Kluyveromyces lactis: one gene and its partner. The protein of the gene in region 1 interacts with the protein of each later gene in a biochemical or structural test. Links are inferred from orthologs where the notes say so. Each region holds a gene or a part of one and is shown on either strand. Other genes may lie near its edges.

What was found. The genes of interacting proteins can lie anywhere in the genome.
Region 2: the proteins of KLLA0_F03729g (region 1) and SEC31 form a complex in vitro, tested with the Saccharomyces cerevisiae proteins (2 studies listed by BioGRID). The link is inferred for Kluyveromyces lactis from reciprocal best matches to the Saccharomyces cerevisiae genes SEC24 and SEC31.

The regions. Positions count from the first base shown.
Region 1 is NC_006042.1:351,535-356,060, forward strand, and holds KLLA0_F03729g (uncharacterized protein), read right to left. Parts: upstream 2,957-4,526; coding exon 182-2,956; downstream 1-181. Other genes in the region: KLLA0_F03751g (putative metalloendopeptidase), read left to right, coding at 3,905-4,526. UniProt on the Saccharomyces cerevisiae protein: Component of the coat protein complex II (COPII) which promotes the formation of transport vesicles from the endoplasmic reticulum (ER).
Region 2 is NC_006042.1:504,745-509,170, reverse strand, and holds the start of SEC31 (Sec31p), read right to left. Parts: upstream 3,165-4,426; coding exon 1-3,164. Other genes in the region: COA4 (Coa4p), read left to right, coding at 3,950-4,204. UniProt on the Saccharomyces cerevisiae protein: Component of the coat protein complex II (COPII) which promotes the formation of transport vesicles from the endoplasmic reticulum (ER).

The DNA of each region.
Region 1 (4,526 bases):
ATAGGTGTAAGATGACAGACAGTCGAAAGTAGCCACAGATAGTTTGTAATGACAAACATGTATTCTTATGTTATACATATCACTTGTGTAAGGTTGTGTGCAAAGTAAGATTTTGCTATTTCATGGTTTCAATATCTACATAAAAAATGGTATGTACGCAACTTGGAAGCACCTTTTAAACTTACTTCGAGATTCTTGTCTTCATGTTTTGTAAGAATTCTCTGTAGTTCCAGCTGTTTTGGACCTTATCTTCGACCAACTGAGATGCAGTCCATAATCTTAGAGAAGCAACTTCCCTGGCAGAAGGATGGTTCATTGGTTCACTTGGTGAGGCGCCTCTGACAATGTGCAAGGTTTTGTAGAAGATAACATCATCGTGTTCTCTTATCTTTGTAATAACATTCCTCACTCTTAGGTTGAACTCAGTAGCGTCTAATAGAGGTAGTTCATTTTTACCAATTGGAATTTCCATAATGTCCGGGGTTCCAAACACGTCTGTAACAAGCTCTGGGACAGCATCACCGCCAATCCATAAGAACATGTCCAATCCTGTGTCGATTAAATACAGACCGTATCTTTCCAATAAAGACGAGGTGGAGTTAATTGGTTGCGGTAGTACAATTTCACCAGTTTCTTCATCGGGAAGACCAGCTTCGTCAGGCATGTCATGTAAGGAGTATACTGTTGGATAAATGTTTTGAATCAAATATGGCAATGGTAACGTTTCAAGATTATTTAATGCTTGAGCTCTGTGATCAGCCGGAACAATACCAGAACGGAAAGCCATATGTTTAGTTAGAGAATGCATCAATAGAGGCCACATTCTTAGGTTACTACAGAGCATTAATGGAGCTCCGCCACCTGTGTTTGAAGTCAAAACTTCTTTCTTGTATGTAGCCAAAACCTCTTGGACAGATTTGTTGAAAAATTCTCTAGTGTCTTCAAAGCCAGAAGAAGGAGCTCTTTCCACAGCCTTTTGAGCGAAGTATGCTGTGATGGCCAACTGATCTGCAGAAGCATAGACTTCAGTTAGCTTATCAGTAGTTGGAATACCAATAGTTATGACTCTAATTCTTCTTTGGGCAGCATTGGATGTCAATAATAAAGCAATTTGAATGTACACAAAGTCCTTTGTTAATTGTTCATCGATACCAATTTCAAAAACGTATGATTGGTCCCTTGGAACCGTAGCCAAAGCGCACAAGTCTGAAGATCTATTGAAGAAATGACCGTAAAATCCGGTCATTTTCAAGCCTGACGAACCACGAGCTCTCATAACAGCTTCCAAAGATAGATCCATGGATACGTGTTTTGAAAATTCTTTTGAGAACTTTGTAACATCGATCAAGTTTAAGGCACTGAAACCAGGGTAGAAATGGGTTTGGCCACCAGTGAAACGGCCTAGGTTAGAGATAGATGCGATATCGACATAATCGTCGGAAGCCATAAACATATCCACCGTAACTTGATATTTGTTACATTCGATAGGGAAAGATTTGTAGAATGCGTCACCAGTGTTCAATAAAGTGGAAGCTTCCTTGGAAGTATTTGCAACAGCCTTTTCATTTCTCTTATGTAATGTACCTTCACCGACGTTGGCCAAAGTGGCACCAACAACAATAATCTTACCACCCTGAGCTCTGATCAAGTTCAAAGCAGACTTTAGAGCAGAGGCCAAGGCAAATCTTGGTTGAATATTTTGTTGGAAAATTTCTGGTAAGCTAGTCAATAATTTTTCAATGTTGCTTCTAGCCTCAATTAGTGGAACCAATAGGCCAGTGGGAGAAGGTAAGAATGGTTCATCCAAGTCAGCGACGTCGTACATCTTAATGTTGTCACCTTCTTCGTCCAAAGGAATACGGAAGTAATGTAGAGATTGATCAACACAAATAATAGAGATTCTTGTTCTCTCATCATGGTTTGGAATGGTATCCAAGCTTTCCAAGAGAGTTCTTGCAGCAGTAGCCAACAAGCCATTCTTGATTGATGCCTGAGAAACGTCCAAAATGAAAGCGTAAGTGGATGGTGGTGGTGGTCTGACAGCGTATTCTTTAGGAGCAACGAAATCCACAACAGAATGGTTGAATTCGGGTCTCTCGTAACGGTTACCATTCATATCAATTGCTTGAGGGAAGTTGTTCGCCAAGTTACAGAAGTTACATCTCCAACGTAAACCATTCTCGATTACTTGTACGAAGGGGTTCAAGTAGGCACGACAACGTCTACAACGAACCACAACACCGTCTTCGCTAGTTGGCACTGGACATTCAGAGTCGGTTAACTTAGTGTATGGTCTGATAACCATAGCTAATGGTAGTTTCGATTTTTTCAGTAAAGAATTGTTTTTTGGAACGGCGTTCAAAGTGCACCTTAAATGGTCAGAACAATTGTTAACTGTATCGTTAGGAACAATCATCTTCTCTGGAGGGAGCATCAACGGTGGTGGAGGCAAAGACAAGTCAGTGATTGGAGGAGGCAATTCTTGGAACAAATCAACTGGGTACAATTGATTCATTGGTTTACCCACAGCCATTCCTACTCCTGGTTGTTGATATTGTGGTTGCTGCTGCTGTTGTCCGTACGTTTGCCCATACGGCTGTTGCATTGGCTGCTGATACTGCTGCTGAACACCGGATATGTTATCGGCGCCGTAGCCACTGTTCATTGGCTGGCCATATTGAGGAGCCCCACCGTATGGTGGTTGTTGCACCGGGGTTCCAGCTTGCTGGAATGCAGTAGGATCAACCACAGGAACGTTGTGTAATTGCATATTACCAATGCCGTTACTTGCTTGGTCGATCTGTTGATGCAAATGTTGTTGAGCAGGAGTCAGAAATTGCGGCTGTCCAGCACCTACAGTTTGCGGAGGAACACCTCCACCAACAATTGGCTGTGCAATCCCTTCTGCAATTTGGTACTGAGCCTGAGGATAAACACGCTTCTTATGGTGTGACATGGTTCAGTATAATTTGATCTCCTGTATCACTCGATTGTCTGTAACTCTTTCTCTTTTATCTGCAAAAAATACAATGCAAAGAGCCTTCTCCTTTATAAACTTCTGATAAGTCGCCTAGATCCTGACACAGTTATTGACTCTACCAAGTTGAAGATCCAAAAGAGTAGATGCCTCAATCGATGGCAATTGAATATCAAATGTGTGTATTGTTTTTATAATTTTCGGCCCGTTTTGTTATTGTCGAAGAATCGAAATTTGGGTTTTTGGATTTTTGAAATTTTTTTTTTATTTGGTTTCCTTTCAAGATAACTGCTAAATAAACTGACGCGGTTTGAGAGGCTTTTTCCAGCGTATGTATATGGTTGCTGCTTTATTAGCCAATTGCTCAGTCGATGTTAGCTACATATATTGTATTTCTTTGATCATTGACATATGTGTATTGTATGCTGCAGTTCGTATTTGTATATTGACAGCTGTCAGATTTTAATAATAATATTCGGGTAACATCATAGTTCGTGTTCTCTCAGAATCACATAGTTAAGTAATTAATGTCGACGTGGTCATTGTAGAAGATAAAACTTTCGGGCAGATTGTGGGTCACTGATACTCCCTCCAGACACTGTACGGGCTTTAACGAACCTACCTGTGGTTATGCAGTGCTTTATTTGTTGATGGATATTTAGAGATATAAACCTTGCTATATCACGTGATATGAAAGTTCGAGGTCTGCTTATTTTATTTACAATGTGCGTAGATTTTGGATCAGATCTTTAAACAAGATGTCTCGAAGGTAAAACGATTTTAAATACGAGCAATCCATCCATTGTTCCTAGTATTCGATATCATAAGGTTCTACACTGGTAATTCAGCTAATACCTGTGACTGACACTCAAATCTGCTTCTTTTTCCCACTGGTACACCATAGAATACCCTTAATTAAATCAAGTGATGTCCCAAATCCAATTTTACAACATCAAGAACGGAGAAGAGGTTCATACACCCGCACTTATTGTCCACGGAAATATAAATACAAATGCCAATTCTGTCCAAGTGCATCATTCGCAGCTCCCTCCCTTAACGTTTCCCGTTAACAACCACGGATTCAAGTGCATTATTTCTTTGACTCCTGGTGAAAACTTACTATGGTTCACTGGAAATGACAATTCTACGGCGCAATTAACTATTCAATACGTACCATTGTTACAGAACCCGCCAATTCATCTATGTCTACTACTCGCTAAAGATTCTCCTCTGAAATATGATGCACCAGCTGTACAGATTCGTAAGGAGGGTGGTAACGGTCTCGATTTGGCCATAAAGAAATTGAGAACTGGTGCACGGATCATGCAAGCTTTCACTAATGAACAAATGGTTCGTAACGGCGTCGGTCAAAGAACTTTCCGATTCGTGGAAGAATTCACGAAGGATACCCTCCTAAAGGATGACGAGTTAAGAAACACCGTTAAGATTCATATTCTAAAAAGTGAGAAGACTACCGTGGAGCTAAGAGATATTAATATCGCACAACAGAATCCTAATGCAAAAGATGCAGGTGGCTTATTTGGTATAG
Region 2 (4,426 bases), about 150 kb from region 1:
GCTGCAGCTTTAGGAGCTGGTACCGGAGATGGTATAGCAGCTACTAAAGCTTTTGGTGGCACAATCCCTGTGGGCGTGACTGCAGATGGAGCAGGACTGTAAGGATTTACAGGAGGAACAAAAGACCTTCCGTTTGTAGCCGGGTTTGGAGAAGCTGGAGGCATTAAAGGATTTGATATTTGCTGTGGCATTTGAGAAGATTGTACAGCGCTGACAGTAGGCGCATAAGAGTTCGTCTTTTTTAATGGTAGCGGAGGAGATGCAACTTCGGGTGGGGAAGTAAGCTTTGGTGTTCTTCTCACATTAGGCGGTGGTGGTGGGAGCGTTGAGTTTGTAGATGCTCTCGAAAGTGGAACCGCTGCAAGATCGGGGGTACCATACGATGGAGTTGACATGCCAATTGGAGCTGTGTTGACAGCCTTGGCACGGGTTGGTTTTTCTTTGCTTACTGATGGGAGATCATTCCAACCGTCGATTGGTTTATCATGTAGATGAGGCGTTTGACCAGAATATCCACTAGCACCGGAAATTGGTGGCGGAGCGACTGGAGAGCCAAGTGGTACAGGCGCTGCCACAGGTAGTGGGGCATATGGGTTAGGTGGGATACTTGTAGCAGTTTGTGCATATGGGTTCACTGGTGGCGTGTAAGATGGTCTGGAACCCACAACAGATAGAGGAATTTGCTGATTTACCGCAGCCGGAGCATATGGATTGGGTGTTGGAATTGCAGAAGTTGTCTGTGGAACGAAGCTTGGCTTTCTTGGGACGACATTTGGAGCAGTTGAGGCAGGAGGCTGATGAGGAGCAGCCAAAGGATTTGGGGGAGGAATTCCAGAGTTTGATAAACGAGGCGCACCATTGGCAGTTGGTACGGAAGTTGAACCGTATCTTCCTTGTCTGGATTGTAGGGTACTGTTTGCTGTCCTTTCTGTTGACCTAGTAGTACTTGTTTTACCGGAGGCAATCAGCACACGTTGCTTTTCACTTTTAACCTCTTCGTTATCGTCCGGTAAAGTTTCCAAAAATCTTAATGAAAGCTCGAAATCGCCATTGGCAGCTGTGACATTGACGAATTCCAAAAACTTTGAGATTAGCGTTTGATTAGTTAATTTAACAGTACCTTTGTCAAGGTAGTCAGATAACACGGTGAACCTTTCCACAAATTCAGTTAAACATTCCAGATGGGCCTCGTATAAGGTGTCCTTTTGAGACGTCAATTGATTTTCAAGTTCAGGGAATTCTTTCAGCCAAATTGACGCAATGCTTTCCAAGGACTGGCCGCTCAAATATAATAAAATAGCATCTTTTCTGTTTCCCTCGTGTAGTAATCTATCACCTAATTTTACTAAAAGTGAATTTTTCTTTGAGATATCTTCCTTGGTGTAGTTGAAAATGAACTGAACAGCATCTTTCCATTGAGAAACATCGATGTTTGTAACAATATCTTCAACATCGCGTTGAGCAACAGAGAATAAAGTTCTTGCCAACCCAGATTGCTCAGAATGCTTGGAAAAGTAGGCGTTCTTCGCTTTATCCGCCAACAAGGCATCATTGGAAGTAATAGCGATCACCAAAGCCTCTAATAACAAGTCCTTCTCTAAAGCCTGATTTAAAGCAGATTTCAAATCACCTTTGATCAAAAAGTTAGTGAGTGGTTTCATTGATTCAGAAAAATCAAGCTTGAAAGCGCCTTCGGGAACGAATTTGTCGTTTAGTTGGTTGAAGAAGTCAGCACCATCTTCTTCTGACTTTTTGATGATGTCTTCTTTGGCATCATCTAATGATAATGCATCTTTCAAGTAAAGTGCAGTTCCATCCATAGATAGATTCTCTAGTAAATTCCAGTCATCTTCGTTTGTTGCGTTGATCTTTTGTGATAATCTCTTATTGATCAATTTCACGAAGTCCTTGGATTTCAAGGACTCATCGAAAAGCTGATTCTTTTCCAGTCCAGAAATACAAGGTTTTACTACACTGACACCTTTACCATCATCGGATATTCTAACCAGCTTACCACCGAATGCCCATTGAGCGGCAGGAGATTTGTTGCCGTACCATTTTGGGGCTTGGATCTTGACAGTGTTAGGTTTGTCATCAACTGAGTTGGAGGTTACATTGTTCCAGAATTCATCCTCAGAAGCATGTTGCTTACTCTCATTTGCCTGAGCATCCAAGGTATTGCTCAAATTTTGCAACGTTTGAACGACGATCTTACTATCAAAGGATGCGGATGCAAATAAATCTGGAGCTTCAGGAGCAAATTTGGATTTAAAGACCCAGTTACCACGTGGAGCGAACTGAGTTAAGATGGAGCCTTCTTGCGGATTCCATAACACCGAAGTGTTATCACGACCACTGGATAACAATAGATTTTCATCTTGTTTGCACCAATCCAACGATAAAACACCCTTTGAATGTCCTTGTGATAGCACTTTCAATGGTACATGAGCATTTCTTAGATCCCACGTTAGGACAAGAGGTTCTGTATCTGAGCTAGAGGCGGTTGCAATAATGGTAGAGCTGGTTGGATGCCAGTCAACAACCGTCAATGGGACCTTAATACCAGTGGTAGAGGAACTGTGGTTCAAATGCAAAACTTGTTTCTTTGCCTTTAAATCCCACACAGATGCATACCCTGAAGAACTGGCTGATGCAAACACATGTGCCAACGATTGGTTCCATGACAACGAGGAAACTTCATCGATTGGAGTATTACTGATACCAGCCGAAAAAGGAGAATAATCTGAAGATCCGATCTTGTTTGAATCCCAAACAAAGATTTCACCTTGAGTGCCACCAGAGACAAGAACATTGTTCTGTTTGGCATTGAACTTCAATGTCTTGACAGGACCCTGATGTTTATGGATCTTAGCAACAGATTTCAAGGCTTTTGGATCGAAAAACTCAACAACACCATTTTCTAAGGCACCAGCAATTATTTTGTCATCGCCCGACCAATCCAAATCGTTGAACTTACCGTCAGCGACAACAGATCCACTAGGTTTAGACCCATCAAAAGACAATAGCGACCATAGTTCTAATGTCGAAGTACTTGAAAAATCAGCATCAATGGCTCCAGATGCAGGACCAGTCGCCAAAACTGGCACCCTATCGTGAGACCATGAAAACGTAGCCGTACGCGGATACTCAGCTAGCTTCACCATTGCTTCAAGTTATCACACGGGTATTAGCTAATATTGATGCGCAAACTCAATGCTACGTGTAACACTGTTTAGCCACCTTTTATTCTTCTGAAAAAGATCAGAACAAGCTGTTGTTTTCCTAAAATTCGGTTTACATATTTTGAATCTTCAATTTCTTTGGTTTCTTCAGTTCCCATCATTTATAAAAACTTCAGCAAATTATTTTTTTGCAGTCGAGATCTGGCCCAAAATTAGGCGAGACACCATCCAAAGGGACAACAACATGGACAATGTATACTCGAAAAGGGATCTTACTACCTATGTTACTGTACAATTATTGAGTTTATAGTAGGTATCCCGCACTAAGTACTGAATATGTTGTGTGCCTGGAGATTGCATAATCTTGAAAGCATTTATATCACGTGATCTCCCGGTGCAATTACGCCAACGCAAACCGCAGCCTGGTCGTTTATTACATAGATCAATAGTGTTGTATTGCAGTTTGGGGATCTCTGACGTTTTTTAACACAGCTTTCTTTTCTTATATTAATAGTCATTAAACCTTTTGTAGCTCAATCAAGCTTTTGGAACGGAAAATTAGTTCAGTGGCCATAAAGAACAATCGAGAGCAAGGTTTAATTGGAAAAGTAAAAACACTGAAGTATAAATGGTTAATTTAGTAGAATACAATACAATAAGTGCAATAGTACATGCAACAGTTAATCTTGAAACGACTATCACAGTCTACAGTGATACGTTGACCGAGTCAATAGCAATTATTCTGTCGTAGCTTCATACTTTCAATTATGTCTGCAGGAGAATCAAAATACTACAAGGAAGCATTAGCGGAGTATCAGGATATGGATAAAGAAGATCCTGATGCCTGGGACAAGAGAATATCGAACACAGGCTGTTACGTAGAGAATCTAGCTTTACAACTTTGCCATGCAGAGACTAATGATTGGAGACAGTGTCTTGGTGAAATGAAACTGTTCAAAGATTGTTGGCAATCCAAGGGTAATGACCAGAGAGTGGGGACAGTCGATGCAAAAGAACATTGAGATTTGCATTTACAGGTGTAAAAAGATCCTTCACTGTGAAGCTTTGTCGAAATACTCCACATATTGTATATAGACCCATTTAATTGTATATGCGAATACCCATCTGAATATTTTTAGTCTACGCAGCGCAACATTTAAATTGACATATTTTAGTTAAGGATAATGAATAATCGTTTCAATACAACATTTACACCAGAACATAACGAAATTTAACCAGTTCCC